Linked DNA regions of Kluyveromyces lactis. The protein of the gene in region 5 purifies or fractionates together with the protein of the main gene of each other region. This does not show direct contact. Links are inferred from orthologs where the notes say so. Each region holds a gene or a part of one and is shown on either strand. Other genes may lie near its edges. The genes, in order: MPP6, LRP1, MTR3, RRP43, RRP4 and ECM16.

The links.
Region 1: the proteins of RRP4 (region 5) and MPP6 purify together in Saccharomyces cerevisiae (affinity purification with mass spectrometry; 4 studies listed by BioGRID, with this or other methods). This does not show direct contact. The link is inferred for Kluyveromyces lactis from reciprocal best matches to the Saccharomyces cerevisiae genes RRP4 and MPP6.
Region 2: the proteins of RRP4 (region 5) and LRP1 purify together in Saccharomyces cerevisiae (affinity purification with mass spectrometry; 6 studies listed by BioGRID, with this or other methods). This does not show direct contact. The link is inferred for Kluyveromyces lactis from reciprocal best matches to the Saccharomyces cerevisiae genes RRP4 and LRP1.
Region 3: the proteins of RRP4 (region 5) and MTR3 purify together in Saccharomyces cerevisiae (affinity purification with mass spectrometry; 3 studies listed by BioGRID). This does not show direct contact. The link is inferred for Kluyveromyces lactis from reciprocal best matches to the Saccharomyces cerevisiae genes RRP4 and MTR3.
Region 4: the proteins of RRP4 (region 5) and RRP43 purify together in Saccharomyces cerevisiae (affinity purification with mass spectrometry; 6 studies listed by BioGRID, with this or other methods). This does not show direct contact. The link is inferred for Kluyveromyces lactis from reciprocal best matches to the Saccharomyces cerevisiae genes RRP4 and RRP43.
Region 6: the proteins of RRP4 (region 5) and ECM16 purify together in Saccharomyces cerevisiae (affinity purification with mass spectrometry; 3 studies listed by BioGRID). This does not show direct contact. The link is inferred for Kluyveromyces lactis from reciprocal best matches to the Saccharomyces cerevisiae genes RRP4 and ECM16.

What each region holds. Positions count from the first base shown.
Region 1 is NC_006039.1:782,856-785,179, reverse strand, and holds MPP6 (Mpp6p), read left to right. Parts: upstream 1-1,296; coding exon 1,297-1,824; downstream 1,825-2,324. Other genes in the region: snoRNA-binding rRNA-processing protein PWP2, read right to left, coding at 1-644; YIH1 (Yih1p), read right to left, coding at 1,941-2,324. UniProt on the Saccharomyces cerevisiae protein: RNA-binding protein that associates with the RNA exosome complex. Involved in surveillance of pre-rRNAs and pre-mRNAs, and the degradation of cryptic non-coding RNAs (ncRNA) derived from intergenic regions and the ribosomal DNA spacer heterochromatin.
Region 2 is NC_006041.1:1,510,274-1,512,636, forward strand, and holds LRP1 (Lrp1p), read left to right. Parts: upstream 1-1,329; coding exon 1,330-1,863; downstream 1,864-2,363. Other genes in the region: KLLA0_E16985g (uncharacterized protein), read right to left, coding at 362-880; DNA protein crosslink repair co-factor UBX5, read left to right, coding at 2,122-2,363. UniProt on the Saccharomyces cerevisiae protein: Required for exosome-dependent processing of pre-rRNA and small nucleolar RNA (snRNA) precursors. Involved in processing of 35S pre-rRNA at the A0, A1 and A2 sites. Required for activity of RRP6 in 7S pre-rRNA processing.
Region 3 is NC_006042.1:1,688,687-1,691,222, forward strand, and holds MTR3 (exosome non-catalytic core subunit MTR3), read right to left. Parts: upstream 1,212-2,536; coding exon 501-1,211; downstream 1-500. Other genes in the region: CHO2 (phosphatidylethanolamine N-methyltransferase), read left to right, coding at 1-319.
Region 4 is NC_006039.1:318,921-321,937, reverse strand, and holds RRP43 (exosome non-catalytic core subunit RRP43), read right to left. Parts: upstream 1,641-3,017; coding exon 501-1,640; downstream 1-500. Other genes in the region: KLLA0_C03542g (elongation of very long chain fatty acids protein), read left to right, coding at 1-214; RBK1 (putative ribokinase), read left to right, coding at 2,204-3,017.
Region 5 is NC_006041.1:1,129,885-1,132,931, forward strand, and holds RRP4 (exosome non-catalytic core subunit RRP4), read right to left. Parts: upstream 1,815-3,047; coding exon 501-1,814; downstream 1-500. Other genes in the region: OMS1 (putative RNA methyltransferase), read left to right, coding at 1-403; TRM5 (tRNA (guanine) methyltransferase), read left to right, coding at 1,843-3,047. UniProt on the Saccharomyces cerevisiae protein: Non-catalytic component of the RNA exosome complex which has 3'->5' exoribonuclease activity and participates in a multitude of cellular RNA processing and degradation events.
Region 6 is NC_006042.1:1,597,097-1,601,056, forward strand, and holds the start of ECM16 (ATP-dependent RNA helicase ECM16), read right to left. Parts: upstream 2,801-3,960; coding exon 1-2,800. Other genes in the region: SAS2 (histone acetyltransferase), read left to right, coding at 3,165-3,960. UniProt on the Saccharomyces cerevisiae protein: Probable ATP-binding RNA helicase. Required for 18S rRNA synthesis. May play a role in restructuring of the pre-rRNA.

The DNA.
Region 1 (2,324 bases), on a different chromosome or scaffold from region 5:
AAGGCACCATCTTTACTGACCGTGTATATCTTTTCCTGGTCATCGCTGAAATATGCTCCGATAACGTTATCTCTATGTCCTGCAAAAGTCGTCGATGCAAGATTTTTCTCCTCCGAGTTAACTGACCATATCCTTGCCGTTAGGTCCTTGGATGTGGATATAATAAATCTTGAATCTTTTGACCATGTCAAGGAAGTTATATCAGAAAAGTGGCCGGCATGGATTCTATAACGAACAAAAGGTGCAAACTGTCTATCCTCAGTGGTCTCGGGTGTCCTCCATATTTGTAAGAATCTCCCACAAGCCAGCGCAAATAACTTGCCATCAGGTGAAAACTTCAAGTCATAAACCTTTTCTTTGAAGTTGAAATGATGCAATACGTTTCTTGTCTTAAAGTTCGCCAAGATACCACGACCATCGACATCAATGGAAAGAAGTAACGTACCTTGCTTGTTGATATCTACAACGGCAACGTTCTTCCTATGTTCATATTCGAAGGTAAAAGCAGTATTGTTGATCAAATCAAATACCGACACCCTATTACCTACCGGTGAAAGTAACTTGGAACCATCTTGAGAGAACAAGACGTTACCTTGCCTATAAACAGTTCCCAAAAGATTGGAAAACTTAAAATCAGACTTCATCCGTAACTAAACCCTTATAAAGCTCGTCTGACCTGATTCCTTCCAACTAATTGAAATTGAACAACTGATTATAATGCAAAGTCCTTACAAGTGACTGATAATCCGTCTGCACTTCCTGCTTGAACTCATCTCATCTCATCTCATCTCATCGCTCAATTTTTTCTCTTAAATTTTTCGAAATCCTGTATGCTGAATGAAAAAGAAAGGAAAACATATACAGCTTTAGCACGGAAGTAAAGAAAGAGAGAACAGAAACATGTCGGTTTTTGGGTGGATTGTCGTTTATGTCAGCACTTGAAACTTAGTATGAGTACTTCATTATAGCTGTTTTCATACTTTTACCAATGACCTTTTTATTTCATTTATTTTTGTACAATGTTCCTTTTATAGTGCAGATCCTTGCATTCTGAAATACGTCCGACGGGGTTTAACCATGGATATTTCTATCTTCTTGCTATCTTTCATTTTCCGGACAATCGTAAACAAACTTTTCATGAAATTCTAATATGTAAGATCAAACCATTCAGCAGAAGATTGATGAGATGAGCTGTATTAGGACTTTAATGATACATTAAAAATGTATTCCAGTGTCAATGATATAGTGAAGCCTATTTGAAAGCGGTAATAGGGGCACTAAGACGAAAAGGTAACAATGAGTGGACAGAAACGGCATGAAGTCACAGGCAAGTTATCCAATAGAGTGATGAACATGAAGTTCATGAAGCATGCGGAACAAGCAGACAAAGTTAAACAGACCGAGGAGACAATAAAGAAATTGGTGGACTCGTCAGAATGGAGGATAGGTGACAATGTAAAACTCTTGACAAAACTTGCTAATAAATCAAAAGTGGTACAGAACGTAGGTTTCTCTGCTATCAAGTCACTGAATGATGAGGATTCGAAGATCGATACAAACGATCTCAGCACAAGCACACTACGGACTAGTGTAAATGCAGGAAGAAGAATATTCGGAAATAAACTCGGACGAGCTACGCCCGGTTCAGATGGGAGTTCTAATGATAAGAAAAGAAGTTTTGAAGAAAAGGACGAGGACGATGTGTCGACGACAGATTTAGAAAAGCTATGGGAAGCCGAAACACAGACTAAGAAACAGAAGAAATCCAATGGTAATGGTAATACTGAGAGGAATAAGAAGAAGTCAAAAAGGAATAGAAATTAAACTTCATAGCAGGATGCTAAATGAGACACTAGTATTTGTATATTATTTTCGCCGACTTATATAATAAATAGAGTAGATCAAATTCCGGTAACAATACTCCATTCTATAAATGTGAACTATTTTGACCTCTTCTTACTTGAAGTAGAGGTAGCAGCTTCTGTGAAATGCCCCTTCAATATTACTTCTCTAGTTGTTGAATTTATATGCTTGAATCTATCTGGACCAATATGAACTCCTCCGAACCATCTTCCAACGGCAACAATTACATTCCATGCATCCATCACTGTGATCAAATGTAGCATTCGTCCTCCTGCAGCTGTTTCTCCATCGTCATCGCAGTCTTGGAAACTGACACCGTTCTCTCCCTTGATTCTCCATGCAACCATTAAATGATTAGCACGAGCAATTTTATTATCGGTTCTTAACAGCTCAAGCTTATCGAATGCCTCTTCTTCAGAATTGGCTTTAGTAGCAAACGCAATAAACGTGCTCTTTCTGTC
Region 2 (2,363 bases), about 380 kb from region 5:
TGTAGAGCTTTCCTAGTGTCGTTGTTTGTCTTGATACTTTATTGATGTTGATGTTTACTTGCTAGTTAGTTATTTTAATGTTTTTCGAATTTTGTTTCCCCCTCAAAGAGCGACAAATTCGACAGATTTAAGAGAAAACATATACCAAAGAGATAGAATTGCGTTGGGTATTGAACCTCTATGGTTCTGCAACTGGTGCCAACAGATATTTTATAGTGTATCATTACAGCTTTATCTTTTACTATACATATTATATGTGTATATGTGTATAATTGGTCAAAAACGTTCGCATGACTCAAATAAAAGATGGATCATATATGTGATGTGTCGAATCTCAAACGAAAACGAAGATTACATCCACCTATTGGCGTTGCATCTCAGTGAGACGTTTAAGATTGGCCAAGTTCTCCAGGATCTGGCCATCTGAGATCATAATTGGGGTTTGCGTATCGTTGCGGAAGTAATCTTCTGCACTTGTATGTGCTAAAGGTGGACAGAGTCTGAATGAACCAGACCGATCCATTTGATGTTGGAAGGGGGAATTTTCCGAATAGAACGCAGTTCTATCGAGTTTGACTTTGAGATGGTTCTGCTGTTCGTCGTTCCCGTTCTTTTGGTATAGGTTCTGTAGAAGCGGTTGCGGTGGCTGTATTCCAGCCTGAAGCGATGATGACTCGTGGTTCAATAGGAAGGATACGTTCATCTGTTTAGAGTTCCGCTGCAAAAGCTGATCCATTTCTGTGACGACTTTCTGCAAATTTGATGCCAAGGTTGACCATGATTCTGCATCGCTTGGCGAGAGCGAGTGTGCTTGCTCACGATATTTCTCACGAACCTGTCGTAGCTGTGTCTCTATATTCGATAAGTCATCAGCGACCATTATCTATGCTGACGAGAAACAAACTAAAGTACTTCTTGAGCTAGGCCAGTGTTGAAATTAAGTATACTGGCGGAGGGTGGATGTTACTTCAACAGTCCAAATAGGACTACTCGCCCTGTATTGAGTACAGGTTCTCCATATATGTGGTATGAATGTGTGTAATGTCTTGCGTTTTTTTTTTTTTTTTTGGCAGGCAAATATGGAATTTTCGCTGGATAAAGAAATAGAAATATTACTGAAGTACTTCTACGTGCGAAACGCACGCAGATTATTATGCGTTTTGTTCCATTGCGAAAAATTCGCAGTATTATGTTATTGATCGAAAATTTTGATTCAGTGAAGAATACTTCATCTCGGTATTATACAGCTTCATCTCATCTCATCTCATCTCATCTCATCGCTGCCTCAGTCGACAACGACAAGAACACGGACCACATACAACTACCAGCATGGAAGATACTAAGAAAATTAAACCATACATCTCGTATCTCAATAAACAGGTGGAACAACTCAGTGGTGAGATTAACAAACTAACGAGCAAGTCATTGGACGAACAACTGTTGCTTCTGCAAGATGAAAAGAAGAAACTTGATCTTTCAAACAAATACGCATATGTATTGAGTTCACTATGCTTTTCATACATGAAAGTCCTCAATATCAAAGACCTGTCACCTATCATGGCCGAATTGGCAAGGTGTAAGTCATATATGGATAAATCTAAACAGTTAGAAGCTAAGAAAGAATCTGAAGAGAAGGATGAGGTGGAGCAAGAAGAACAAGCAAAAAGAGTTCTACAATCTGCGTTGGGAGGTGGCAAAATGGAACCTGCTATCAGTAAAGTCAACTTTCAGGGGAAACATACTAAGTTTTCGACAGAGGCTTCCACCACCAGCACTGATAAGGATGGACTGGCAAATCGAGTAGTAGACGGAACAAAGAAATCAAAACAGCAAAAACAATCTGGTAAAGTATCGAAGAAATAATTCATCTGAAATATGTCCTGGCATGTTCATCCATGTATTCCTGGGTCTTATTCTGGCATTCTATATTAATAATTAGCATCGCATTTTTCACTGACATAACAAGTTGTATAGTATAAATACACTAAAATTGGGAAACAAAAAGAAGGAAATTCCAGTTGGCAAACGTGAACAAGAATTAACCAAAGATACAGGTTTCAAGTGGCAACAGAGAGTTACAGAGACCAGTAAAAGGATTAAAAGAAGTACATTTCAATAGCCATGATATCTGACGAGGATATTTCAACTTTCCAAGGTGTTTGCGGTACAGATAACGATGAATTGTCAAGACATTTCCTTGAGATGGCCGGAGGCAATTTGGAAACAGCCATCTCGTTATTCTTTGAACATGGTGGTGAGAGACAGTTGAACAGCAATTCTGGTAATAATAATGCCGGTGCTGGTGCTGGTGCTAATACAGGGGGTTCTGGCGGTCTGAGTGGCGACGTAGAGTTTGCTGAAGA
Region 3 (2,536 bases), on a different chromosome or scaffold from region 5:
TGCTAACAGTCACGATGTTGTTATGATCTCGAAACCTTTCAAGTTATTATTCCCTCAATTTAAAGAAACTGTAAAAGACGTGGACCAATTAATTGCTACCACGAAGCAGTTCTTGAAACAATGTGGTGTTCTAATCAATGATAATAAATTTGATTTGAATAGGAACAAATATTTCACTGGGAAAACATTACAAAACTGGTATAAGTCTACTATGGACACCGATGTTTCCGTTGTTTACATGAAACGTACCAATTTTGATATCGATATTATCACCAAAAAAGTATGGCAAATCAAGCAAGTGTTAGATAACTTGGAATAAATCGCATTCTATTGTACTTAACTATATCTAAAGTATCAACCCATGTATAAATAGGATATGTTTCTAACGAATCCTCACCCTTAATGGTAAAGCCTTGTATATTTTTATTTTGCTAATACAGAAGAAGCGTTCGTGTCACATTAATTATGAATCACTATGAAATTACGTTAACCATTTCATTTCATTTAAGATATTGAACCAAAGTCTGCTTATTTACCAAATATTTTGCCTTGCACTCTTCTATTAATTTTGATATGTCAGTGACGTTATCGTCATCGCTCCAAATACCGACGATTTCATGTCCATTCCTAATAAACGCAACCACAGAGTTATCTTTTGACCCGGCACTCACTAAATCAATGATTTCAATACCTGCGTCTACAAGAGCCATGGTAATAGAATTAATGCATGTGGGTAGAATATTAACGATATTTGCCTCCTCTGTTGGATTACTATTAGAATGCTGGATCAAATCTATAAAGATATCAATACCAGATTTTGGATACTTCTCAACGTTTATCACCGCATTAAAGACATTTGTTAGGAAAGTACAAATTTCTTTAATTTCTCCGGTATTCAAATGTTCTAACGTAACTTCTTTGAACTGAATCGATACTGATGCCTTAGATTGGAAGGAGCCTCGCAATGGCCTGGGTCCGAAGACAGAACTCATTACGAGAACTTGATCCGAAGTACCATCCATATATTCTAGGTATGAGGAACCATTTGCATTCGTTACTAAATCCGTACTAATGAACACAGATTCCTTACCCGATTTATTACCATTACCATCGTCCCTGTTCTCTACGGTTCTTACAGGAGTAATTGCAGCAAACTGCAATGGCTTCGCTTCTGCTGGCCCTAATATTCTTCTTCTATCTTGCACACTCATTAATAGACCTCTCTTCTGTGGGTATTAGTTTAATATAACGATGGGAAACAAACTCAAGTAAATATATGCTGATATGGCACTAGCCAACGTCAACTTGGAAGCATCTCATCGCATGTATATTCACTTGCAAAACGGTCACTAACAGAATACCACGATTGAAATAGTCGAGATGGAAAAATTCTAACGTCATCACGTGATAATATATATGTGTTTCCTATTTGTTTCCCGTTTGTTTCCGTACCGTACTTGTTTCCAAATTATCGGCAGGCAGCATTGGAACTTTTTTACAAATCAACCGACGATCAGTACGTGTGAAATGATTTCTAAACAGAAGAAGTGGCTGTCGCCCGGTATTGTCAAACCAGTAAATAGTAATAGATCCGTATTTCTGAAAAAGAGTCGTGTACTAGCTTTCGGCTCATCACCTCATACGTCAGAAGGAAACGGAGAGAACTGCTTTGTGAAGTTATATAACCACGTGACTAACTGGTGTTTCTCATATGTTTCTCATATGTTTCCAAACAGCACTTGTTTCCGGTTCATGCCAGGTGACCGTTTTCGCAAACCGGTGGAGGGGCAGACGGAGACCCCCCCCTCACAACCTGGGATTTGGCAACTAAAACACCCCACTCTAACCCGCCTTGCCAGTCGTACATACAAAAGCCAGTATCGTTTCTGGGTGTATCATCAAGACAAAGTCAGAAGCTATTCACTTGGACCAGATCGAAAGCCGAACCCTCGCTAATGCTCTCACCAGAAGCTCTTTCATGCATAGGTTTCAAGAATCAAGGCAAGTCATTCGTTCATTGGTTGAACCACCGAAGAAAAGGATGACCAAAGTACATTTTTGAATTAAACCGACTCTGTTAGTGTAACGTTTCTTCCAGGCATCTGGCAGAAATTATAAAGATTTTTGATATTACACCCCACCAATAGCCCAGGACTCTGATTAAAATCAAACTACTCTGCGAATATTGCTCAAAGTCTAACCATATAACTTGGAATGTCCATTGATTCAAACAAGTTGCAGTAGGACAGAATATCATGAATGACAGTTAACCTACAATCTTTTTTCTTGAACAAAAACTAACAATCTAAGAGAGATTGAATCGTAAAAACAAGAACATCAAGGCAGAAAGCCGTTGAATAAGGCCAACATACATCTTTACATAGGGAACAACGAGTATATTGAACTTAATGTACTATCTCGTACATACTTCAGAAGAGGGAGGAAAAGTATTGACTAAAGTTACGGCAATCCAATCTTAAAAAATTTGATGCATAAGTTTTGGCTCTCTTTGTAAGGAAACCTTTGACATCAGATC
Region 4 (3,017 bases), on a different chromosome or scaffold from region 5:
CGCCATCATCTCTTCTTACTTATTTTTATTCATTGCATTTTACATTGAAGTGTACAGACGTCAAGGCACAAAGAAGTCTAAGGTTGTTAAAAGAGTTCGTGGTGGTGTTGCAGCTAAGGTTAACGAATATGTGAATGTCGATTTGAAGAATGTGAGTACTCCCTCTCCTTCTCCAGCTCCAAGAAAGAGAAATACTAGATCTAAGAAGGCATAAATACATGTTTTTGCATGTAAACGTTGTAATATTCAACACACGCTATCATTTTTTATTCTCTTCTCTTCATCCTTGTTTATTTATGTTACATTTTCTTATGGATGTTTTACCTTCAATAGGTTTCCTGTCATGATTTGGTACGAAAGAGAACTCACGTAGATAACTAGAAATTTAGCCTCTTTTGTAAGTAACTATTGATTGACGTTCAAGATTACTCTGACGTTTGTTTTGAAGAAAGTTTGAATATGTCGTGTATTATAAAGATATCGATATGCTTCTTACACAACTAAACTTTGGATTCAATATCTTTTGATCTTTGTTTAGATAAAAATATGCACCTTTTTATCATTTCAGGTGTGATCTTAGAGTCACCTCCGATGATTGTTGCAGCCTTGAATTGACCATTTTTGTTCGTTGTCAAGGACAATGTAGATAGAATTGATGATTCCTCGGCCTCTGTTTCTATATCCGCTAATAATACTGAAGTTGGTTTATCCACGTCCATTTCGTCATCATTTTTGGCCAATTGTGCTAAAGGTTCGATGTCAATGATTCCGTAGTTTGAACCATAGCATAATTCTCCTTCGTTCAATTTTAAAGGTAAAGATTTGTGTGGGTCGCATAAGATGTCGTATGTTTCACGAATTGTCATACTACGACCTCGGGTTCTTATAGCAATTTTCAAATCAGCAGCACGTTCGTCTAGGAAAGCTCTAGGTAGTTGCACTGTTTTTAGCGCACTAATCAAAGAATTCCAACAGAGATCATAAATTGGACCGTTACGGCTGAAAACTTGTATTTTGGCATAAAGCACATAGGACCATTTCCTATTGTTTGCTTCATTAATTTTTTTCTCCTCATCGAGTAGCTCGTCACTGTATATTGTGGTGACACTTCCATCTTCTTCAGTCCTGCGAATACCGCACGATACAGCCAAAGCTGTTTTCTTAAGAATTCCAGAATGTAAGAGTGTCTTGTATAGCTTTTCTGAAGTGATCATCTCTTCATCGGTAGGACCACCAACACGTCCACGTTGTACCTCTACTACGGGATAAATAGTTGAATTTTCGCAGAGCCTATCAGTATCTTCTGAAAGCTTCATCAATTCTTCTTCTCCAACATCTTCAGTATTGTTCGCCGGTAATGTCTCTTCAATGATGCCACCCGTTATCGAAGTTATCACAAAGGTCTTGCCAGAGCGTAGAAGACTGGAACCAATAATGTTATTTGTAGTTGCATTTTGACAGTTCGTACTGTACCTAGATATATTACCATCGTTAATGGCAACATCTCTGAATTCTTCGAATCCTCTTGAACATGGTCGAGTTTCCAAAGACAAATGTCTTTGTAAGGAGATGTCAGGCGAAATTCGAGCTAAAACTTCGGGTGGGAAAACTATTGGATGTATATCAATACTTTCAGTCATACTTGATCGGTTGTAGCAACTCCTTGGCGGAGTTCCTCCATCCTTAAGCCCATGCGATGAGCTATAATCGTTTGTAAAAGACCTAGTTGAAGTTTTTCACTTTTTTATACATCCTTGACGTTATGAAGGTTTGAAAGATTTATGCAGTAATAATGGATGGAAAACACTGGTATAAACCCCTGAGAGGGTCGAACACTATCAGGAATCGATACAGTATACTGGTTATGCCTTTCAATTCTTAAGTGACAAGGTTCTGAATAGATCTGCGGACTCCCTAGGCTGCTTAAAAGAATATAATTCTCACGTGACCGATATATTGATGTGATATACCCTAAATAACAGCTAATCCAGCGAAAGGTGGGATAGATGTCAAGTGGTACGTTACATCTTCGTTACTTTTAATTAGCTTAAATGTAAAAAGGTACCGTTTTGTTCTCTGCTTTGGGTTTATTTATGGACATCTGAAACGAAATGATAAGAATTATATGCAGGATTTGACAGTATATACAATGCATTAACTGCGACATAAAGAGCTTGGACCCCAAAGTAAACAAGACAACAGTATGGGCATAGTTGTCGTGGGATCGTTAAATTTTGATTTGGTCACGTATACGGAGCGTGTTCCGGTAGCAGGAGAGACCTTCGTTGCGGATTCGTTTGAAACACATGCTGGTGGTAAGGGGTTGAATCAATGCATTTCGCTCGCGAAATTAACCAAACCATCTGATGACCAGACAAGCAACATTAGGATGGTTGGCCACGTAGGTTCTGATTCATTTGGAAATCAACTACTATCAAAATTGCAGTATCATAACATCAATACAGAATATGTTGAAGAGGTTGATGACGAGTCAACTGGTGTTGCAGTAATTATAGTGGAAAAAGCTAAGGGACAAAATAGAATCATGATTACAGCAGGAGCGAACAGTAAGACTATGTATTCTGATAAGCAGCTTGAAGTGATGTTTCAAAATAACGCCAAAGAATTCATTGTGTTTCAACATGAAATTCCTGATCCTCCTTCCATCATGAATTGGATAAAGGCAAATAGACCAAACTTTGAGGTAGTATTCAACCCTTCTCCATTTCATGCATTAAAAGTAGAAGACTGGAAATCTGTTGATATTTTAATTGTTAATGAAATTGAAGCCATTCAAATTGGCGAATCACTGTATGGTGAAGCCGTGGTTGAGAACTACAAATCGAGAATTGCGGAGAGCTTCAAGCTGGGATACCTAGAATTAGCGCAGTATTATCAGAGTAATTTGATAAACACATCAAATTCCTCGGTTGTTATTATAACTTTGGGAGAATTCGGTGCAGTTTTTACCTCTAAGCAAAACGTTAAAGGAGGTCACGTTCCTTCAATAGCGGTTG
Region 5 (3,047 bases):
TGTAAAATCTTTGAAGAATTTTGCTGAATTGTTGAAACCTGGCGGTAGAATCATTCTCTTGGAACACGGAAGAGGTTCATACGATACAATCAACAAAATTCTTGACGATAGAGCTGAGAAACGTTTAAAGACATGGGGTTGTAGATGGAACTTGGATATCGGAGAAATCCTTGACGATTCTGGATTGGATGTCGTCGAAGAAAGAAGAACACATTTCGGTACGACATGGTGTATTGTTGCCAAGCGTAAAGGTGACGGTAAGAAGAAAGAAGAAATTGGCTTCTTTGAAAAGTATCTTGGTGCTAGTGTTAAGAGCAGAATTGAATCTTTCACAAACGATGGAAAGAAGCAAGACTCGCTACAAGCTACCCATAATAAACCAACATCTGAGACATCCAAATGATGGTACTCTTATCGAAAAGATTTTATTATTTGTAAATATTATGCACTTTATTTATAAAATACTACTTCATGTAAATATTAATATTACCGATTACAACCTATGCTGCTCCCCTCATCTTCTCTGAGTTGATGACGTCTTGACCTAAGGACTCCATCGTCTCCGATTCAATTAACTGTCCCAAGTTACCATAAGCCATTGAAGCCTCATATGCGGATATTATTCTTGGCTCAGTGATACCGAGTTCGCAATGTGCTAACGCCTTAATTACGTTTGCATATCTTGTGATTGTTTGCCTAACGCTTACAGTAACAGTATCATTTTTATCCGAATATATTTCCCAAGAACTCTCTTCTTCCAATCTTGTAATGGAAACCGACATTGCATTGTTGGATCCTGGTAAATGGTCAGATTGTCCTGAACCTGTAGTAGTGGTCTTACCGGAAAGATCCATCTTGGAGGATTTCCTTATCCATACGAACCCATTTACACCCAAGATAATGGTGACATTCCCTGGAAGATTATGTGTATGATTTTTAGATCTCACTATTAGGGAACTTGGGACTTGAACAAACGTACCATTCCTTAGTTTCCCATATTTCAACGATCTGGTATGTAATGAAGCTGAACCGTCTTGGAACAACGATTGGACTTCAGCGTTTAGTAGATCACCTTCTTTCAAGAAGTTTCTCATTTGCAACTCATCTGTCTCTGACTTACGTCTCAATACACCACCTGGTAAATTAACAGAACCCAACATCAAAACCGCATACTGTTTGGCTCCAATATCCACTTTCCACCTTCTATTACCAACATCAGTGATTCTACCCACGATGTGGTCACCTGTTTCGGGAATATAACGAGATTTTAATGGTAAAACGGATAGCAATCTATTCACTCTCGATACTGTGCCAACCACAGAACTGTATGTCTTGTTTTCCAAGAAATAAGTACCATGACCCTTCATCCATATAGGATCATCGGTTATTAATTCACCAGGTGTGACAATAGACCCATCCTGATGGTCTATTCCACCATTGGAATCGTGAGCACCGCTCATCTCAATGTCATGTTCTTGCTCTGAACCTGAGCTGGAATCTGATTCATATTCATCCTGTTCTAAACGGCCATTAGACCAAAATTCGTTCCTATTGATAACACTAATAACATCACTCATTGTTCCAAGTAATGATATAACGATGTCAGGGACTGCAGAAGGCGTTCGATGTGCTGACTTCCTCGCTGTACCTTTGTTACTTTTGGTGTTAGTTAACTGAAAATTTTCCAAATTAAATAAGAGAGCGATGAGATGAGATGAGATGAGCGTTGTAAAAGATGTAAAAATGTTGCAGCAAAGATCGACCGTCAGGCAGCGTTTTATTTGGTGAAGTGATAGCACACTATTTTGCTCCATTTTTCAAGGATAGAGGAGGACTAGTTTTATGAGGTTTGGCCTAGTGCTTCGAAGAACAATGAGTAGAGCTATTGAAACTACGTTCAAATATGAACCACCAGTGCATCGTGGCATGAAACAATTAGATAAATCATTATTCGTAAAGAAGCTTCCTGTTGTTGTATTGCTATTGAAGAATCCAAAGAATATTTCTGTCTTCACCAAGAAGTTCAAGGACGATATATTAAGGACACCAAGAATTCCATTCGTTATAAGACTTGGCGAAACACCAAAAGAAGATACTGATAAGAACGATGTCGAGCCAGTACAGAAGAAAAGCAAATCCCTGGCCAATGACAACCATATAACCAAAGGTATCATACTAAAAGACAGTATACAAGATGTTTCGCAGGCGAGAGGGAAGTTGACCTCCAATGCACTAGAATTTCTTGATGAGCAAGAGTATGAGTTGAGAAACCATGAGTATGTGCTAGATTATGACTTCTGGAAAGTGGAAGAGATTCTAAATGCAATTTTACCAGAGGAGTACCTTGCTGAGATTCCTACTGGGTTCACTATTGTGGGACACGTAGCTCATTTGAATTTAAGGAAAGAGTTCAAACCGTTTGGTGAAATAATTGGACAAGTCATCTTGGACAAGAATTCGACGATCAAGACCGTGGTCGATAAAGTGGATTCCATTGCTACCAAATTCAGAACTTTCGAAATGAACGTCCTAGCGGGTGAACCGAACCTGCTAGTGACTCAAAGGGAATCTGATTGTTCATTCACTTTCGATTTCAGTAAAGTGTACTGGAACTCAAGACTACATACAGAACATGCAAGGTTAGTGAGTCTATTCAAACCGGGCCAAATAGTTGGTGATGTGTTTGCTGGGGTGGGGCCATTCTCAGTTCCAGCAGGAAAGAAGAAGGTCATCGTTCTAAGTAACGATTTGAACCCAGAATCTTACAAGTACATGCAGCAAAATATCATCGACAATAAGGTGGGTAACTTCGTTGAACCATTGAACCTCGATGGCCGCGAATTCATCAGAGATAGTCCCAAGCTACTACAACAATTCATCGAAAGGGTACAGGGAGTCATCACGGTGCCAGGAGGTAAGAAGTACAAGGATAAAGTCACGGGAGAAACTAAACGTACTCCTGAAACCAAGATCCCAATCAAAAACCAGTTCTTCGATCACTACGTGATGAACTTACCTGACAGTGCTCTTCAATTCCTTGATGAATT
Region 6 (3,960 bases), on a different chromosome or scaffold from region 5:
AGTCGCTTTCATTACCAACAAGCAGCATTTTAGAAAATCTTGGACTTAGCGGAAACAAACTCATTGCTTTACCATCATCAGTGATTCTTTCATTACTGTCGAGTGCACCTAGGTGTTGTAAGAGCTTTATTGACTTCATCAAAGCTGGTCTTTCGGGTGGGGTAGGGAATGGAAAATTCACAATATTATGAACAGCCATGCTCTTCATTTGCAAAACTATACTCTCCACAGGCATTCTTAAAATTTCAGGCTTAGAAAACTGCTCAAAATCTCTTTCGAAAACTGCAGAGGAGTATAAACGATAACAATGACCAGGCCCTGTACGCCCTGCTCTACCACTTCTTTGGCCAGCAGAAGCTTTGCTAATCCAGTCAATTTCGAAACTCTGAACACCATTATTTTCATCAAACTTTCTTTCCTTTGATCTACCACAATCAACGACGTATCTTACTCCCGGTATGGTCAATGATGTTTCTGCCACATTAGTAGCAACAACACATAATCTGGAGTTTGGTGGGGGATCAAGGAAGACCTTCATTTGCTCTTTGGTGGGCAATAGCGAGTAAAGAGGAAGAACATATAGTGGATCTCTATCCGTCTGACCTTCTTCAAGTGTTTCTTCAAAACCTTCTTCTTCGTCCTCTTCTTTGTCCTCAATATCTTCCTCATCAGAGAGTAAACAATCGTCAAATTCTTGTTCCTCTCTAACTCTGACACTGAAGTCGATATCTTCAGCTTCTACATCTGCAGTTTTGGCATCTATTTTCACTGTAGGTATGTGGTCATTTTGAATGAGAGTTTGATGTTTCTTGGGGAAAGGAAACTCTTTTCTTAACCTTTTTACCATGTGCGTGATCTCTTGCTGTCCTGTCATAAAAACCAAGATAGCACCAGGAGGCAACCTTTGATGTATTTTACACGTCTTCCTGAAAGCCTCTTCAGCATAGTTATAAGCTGTTCTACGATTGAAATGTACAGCCACTGGATACTGCCTGGCGTCGACCTTTAAGACAGGTGGAGAAACAGGGAATAAAGTAGGGTTTTCACTAAAATCTGATACTCTCAAGGTGGCAGACATGATAATTAGTTTAAGTTTTTTGTACTTAGCCGGATCAGTTGCATGCTCCTTAGCACGTAAGCTGACACAACGACTTAACATACCAATCAAAATATCTGTATTGATGTTCCTCTCGTGAGCTTCATCGATAATGATAGAAGAGTATTTAGAAAGTCTAAAATCGTTCATCATCTCTCTTAGCAAAACACCATCAGTCATAAATTTCATTCTTGTTTTATCCTTGGTAGAAGAATCGAACCGAATTTGGTATCCTACATATTCGCCATGATCACCCATCTCATTAGTAACACGTCCAGCCATAGAGACAGCGGCCACTCTTCTAGGTTGTGTTATTCCAATCATCCCAGGCGTGTCAGTTGAGGACGAATTACCATATCCTGCCTCGTAAAGAAACTGCGGTACCTGTGTCGTTTTACCTGAACCAGTTTCACCACAAATGATTACAACGTCATTATGATGGATAGCTTCCATAATTCTATGTTCCTCGGCGAAAACAGGTAGTGCGCTTCTCACAGCTTGAACAGCATCAGATCTCCGTACCTTGACATAAAAAGCCTTACGTGTTGAATTTTCGTTCACATTAAATTCATCTGCTTTGAGTCCATCTTCAAAGTCTTCAGGTCTCTCGGTCCTATCGACCTTGATGTTGGAGGAAGGCATAACCATTTCTACATCTCTACCTTCAAGCTTTTTAATTTCCTGATTTGCCCACTCTTTAAATTCTTGGGCAACTGAAGAACTTACGTTTCTGCACTGCGCTATTTCTGAATCCGATCTTTCCTCGCCGTCAGACTCACTCGACTCATCATCGCTGTGACTATCAGCATTACTATTAGATTCACTCTCATCAGGTTCACTTTCTGCAGTGGATGAATGTTCTTCTGATTCACTTTCGTCAGATTCAAAATCCTGATCATCATCCAGTTTACGCCTTCTACGTTCTTCTTGCTCTACCTTTTGCTTCCAGTTATACCTTTTCTTCGAGGCCCTTTTATTCACCACCTTTGCATTACCGAATCCAAAACCAAAACCTGACCCACCAAATTTACTGGGTCTATTATCAATAAATCCCCCAGTATTTGCCGAAATAGGGTGATCTGAACTGGTATGGTCCGTTTCATCACTATCCGAATTGCAATTTTCAGCTGTGCTTTCCTGACTGGGCCTAGTTTCTGGATGATCTTGATACCAATCCCTTACCTCAGTTTCATCGTAAAGAATTTCCCTGGTAGTTTCATCACCACGTCCATTTCTTTCTAATTTGAGGGCTTCTTCAATCCCTTGCCTCTTAGTTTGCCTTCCTTGTCCCAAAATCTTAGAACTTGTCAAAAGCTTAGTATCAATTTTATAGTCCTGAAGTTTTTCTATCAAAACTTTTTTCTCCTCTCTTTTCAATTGATGCTCGATGAACTTCTCTAACCTTTTTTTCTTCGTCCTAGAGACCTTCGTTTCCTTAGGTGTGAATAGCTCTTCCAATTTACGCTTTTTCTCTTGTTTCTCTTCCTCCGTCATGGGTTTCAATACAGCAGCGTTCGTATCTTCCTGATGATCGGGTGATTCATGATGTTCATCTTCAGATGAATTACCTTCTTCAGAATCAGCATCGGAAGAATTTTCAAGTGCACGGGTGAACTGCCTATTCCTTACTCTCTTCAACTCCTTCAACTTAGACATCTGACCCGCGCGTGCTTTCTCATTCCAGCGCTTCCTATAGGTACCCATGTTTGTTGTTCAATTTTTTGACCGTTTAACGTGCGAGGTACTTCTCTTGACTGTTAATGTCACAGAGGCCTATAACATTCAGACTACCAGCCTGTTATCAACGAGATTTTGATATATAGATGCAGGTGAGCTTGGATGCGATGAGATGCGATGAGCTTTAAAGCTTTTTCTGCCATAAAGGAAGATGAAAAAAAAAAAAAGAAAGTCGCTTTCAACGTTTTGATAATTCAAAGATATAGGCAATCTTTTGTACATTTAAGTTCAAAGAGCAGTTGATTCCACCGTTAATTGGGTTTTCAAGTACTCATTAAATTTGGGAAACGTGATAAATCGCATTTTTTGCCTCTTTTCAAATCATTAATGAATGGTTCCCAAACCTGATAAGCACAACAGCTCAACAGAGGATGAAGAAATATATGGTATTCTTGACAAGCCTAATATTAGGCACGTCCAATTTGGCTTGAATAAAAGATTTGCAACTTGGTACGGGAGTAATGTTTATTTTGGAAGAAATAAGAGGACCTTGGGCTTCAAGGAATCGAACAATGAGCACACCGCAAAACAAAGCCCTACTGAAAAGAAGTTTGAAGATCAGTATTGGATTGATACCCTATACGTATGTGAATATTGTTTCAAGTACACTGATGATGAAGCAGAGTTAATCGCACATGAGTGCTTTTGCCGATATAAGAATAAGCCACCCGGTAGAATAAAATACAGAAGCCCCGAATACACTATACGAAGGGTAAAAGGTTCTAAGCATGAAGTTTTCTGCCAATGCTTATGTCTATTTACTAAGCTATTTCTTGATAACAAGTCTGTCTACTTCAAAGTTAAGCATTTCGAATTCTATATTGTGTATGAGAACAATTCTACAGTACCGATGGCATTTTTTTCAAAAGACTTATATTCCTACCACCAAAATAACCTTGCATGTATTCTTGTCTTTCCGCCCTATCAAAGAAGAAGATTGGGTACTCTCTTGATTGAGTTTTCCTACACTTTATCAAGATGTCAGGGTCTGATTTCGGGTCCTGAAGTTCCTCTATCTCCTTTCGGTTTAATTGGCTATCTTAAATTTTGGTCTTTCTCAATAGTTTGGCAGTTGACTGAAGGTAATTTGAAAGATGTGGCCCAGGTCACTTTGAAGGATCTTTCCG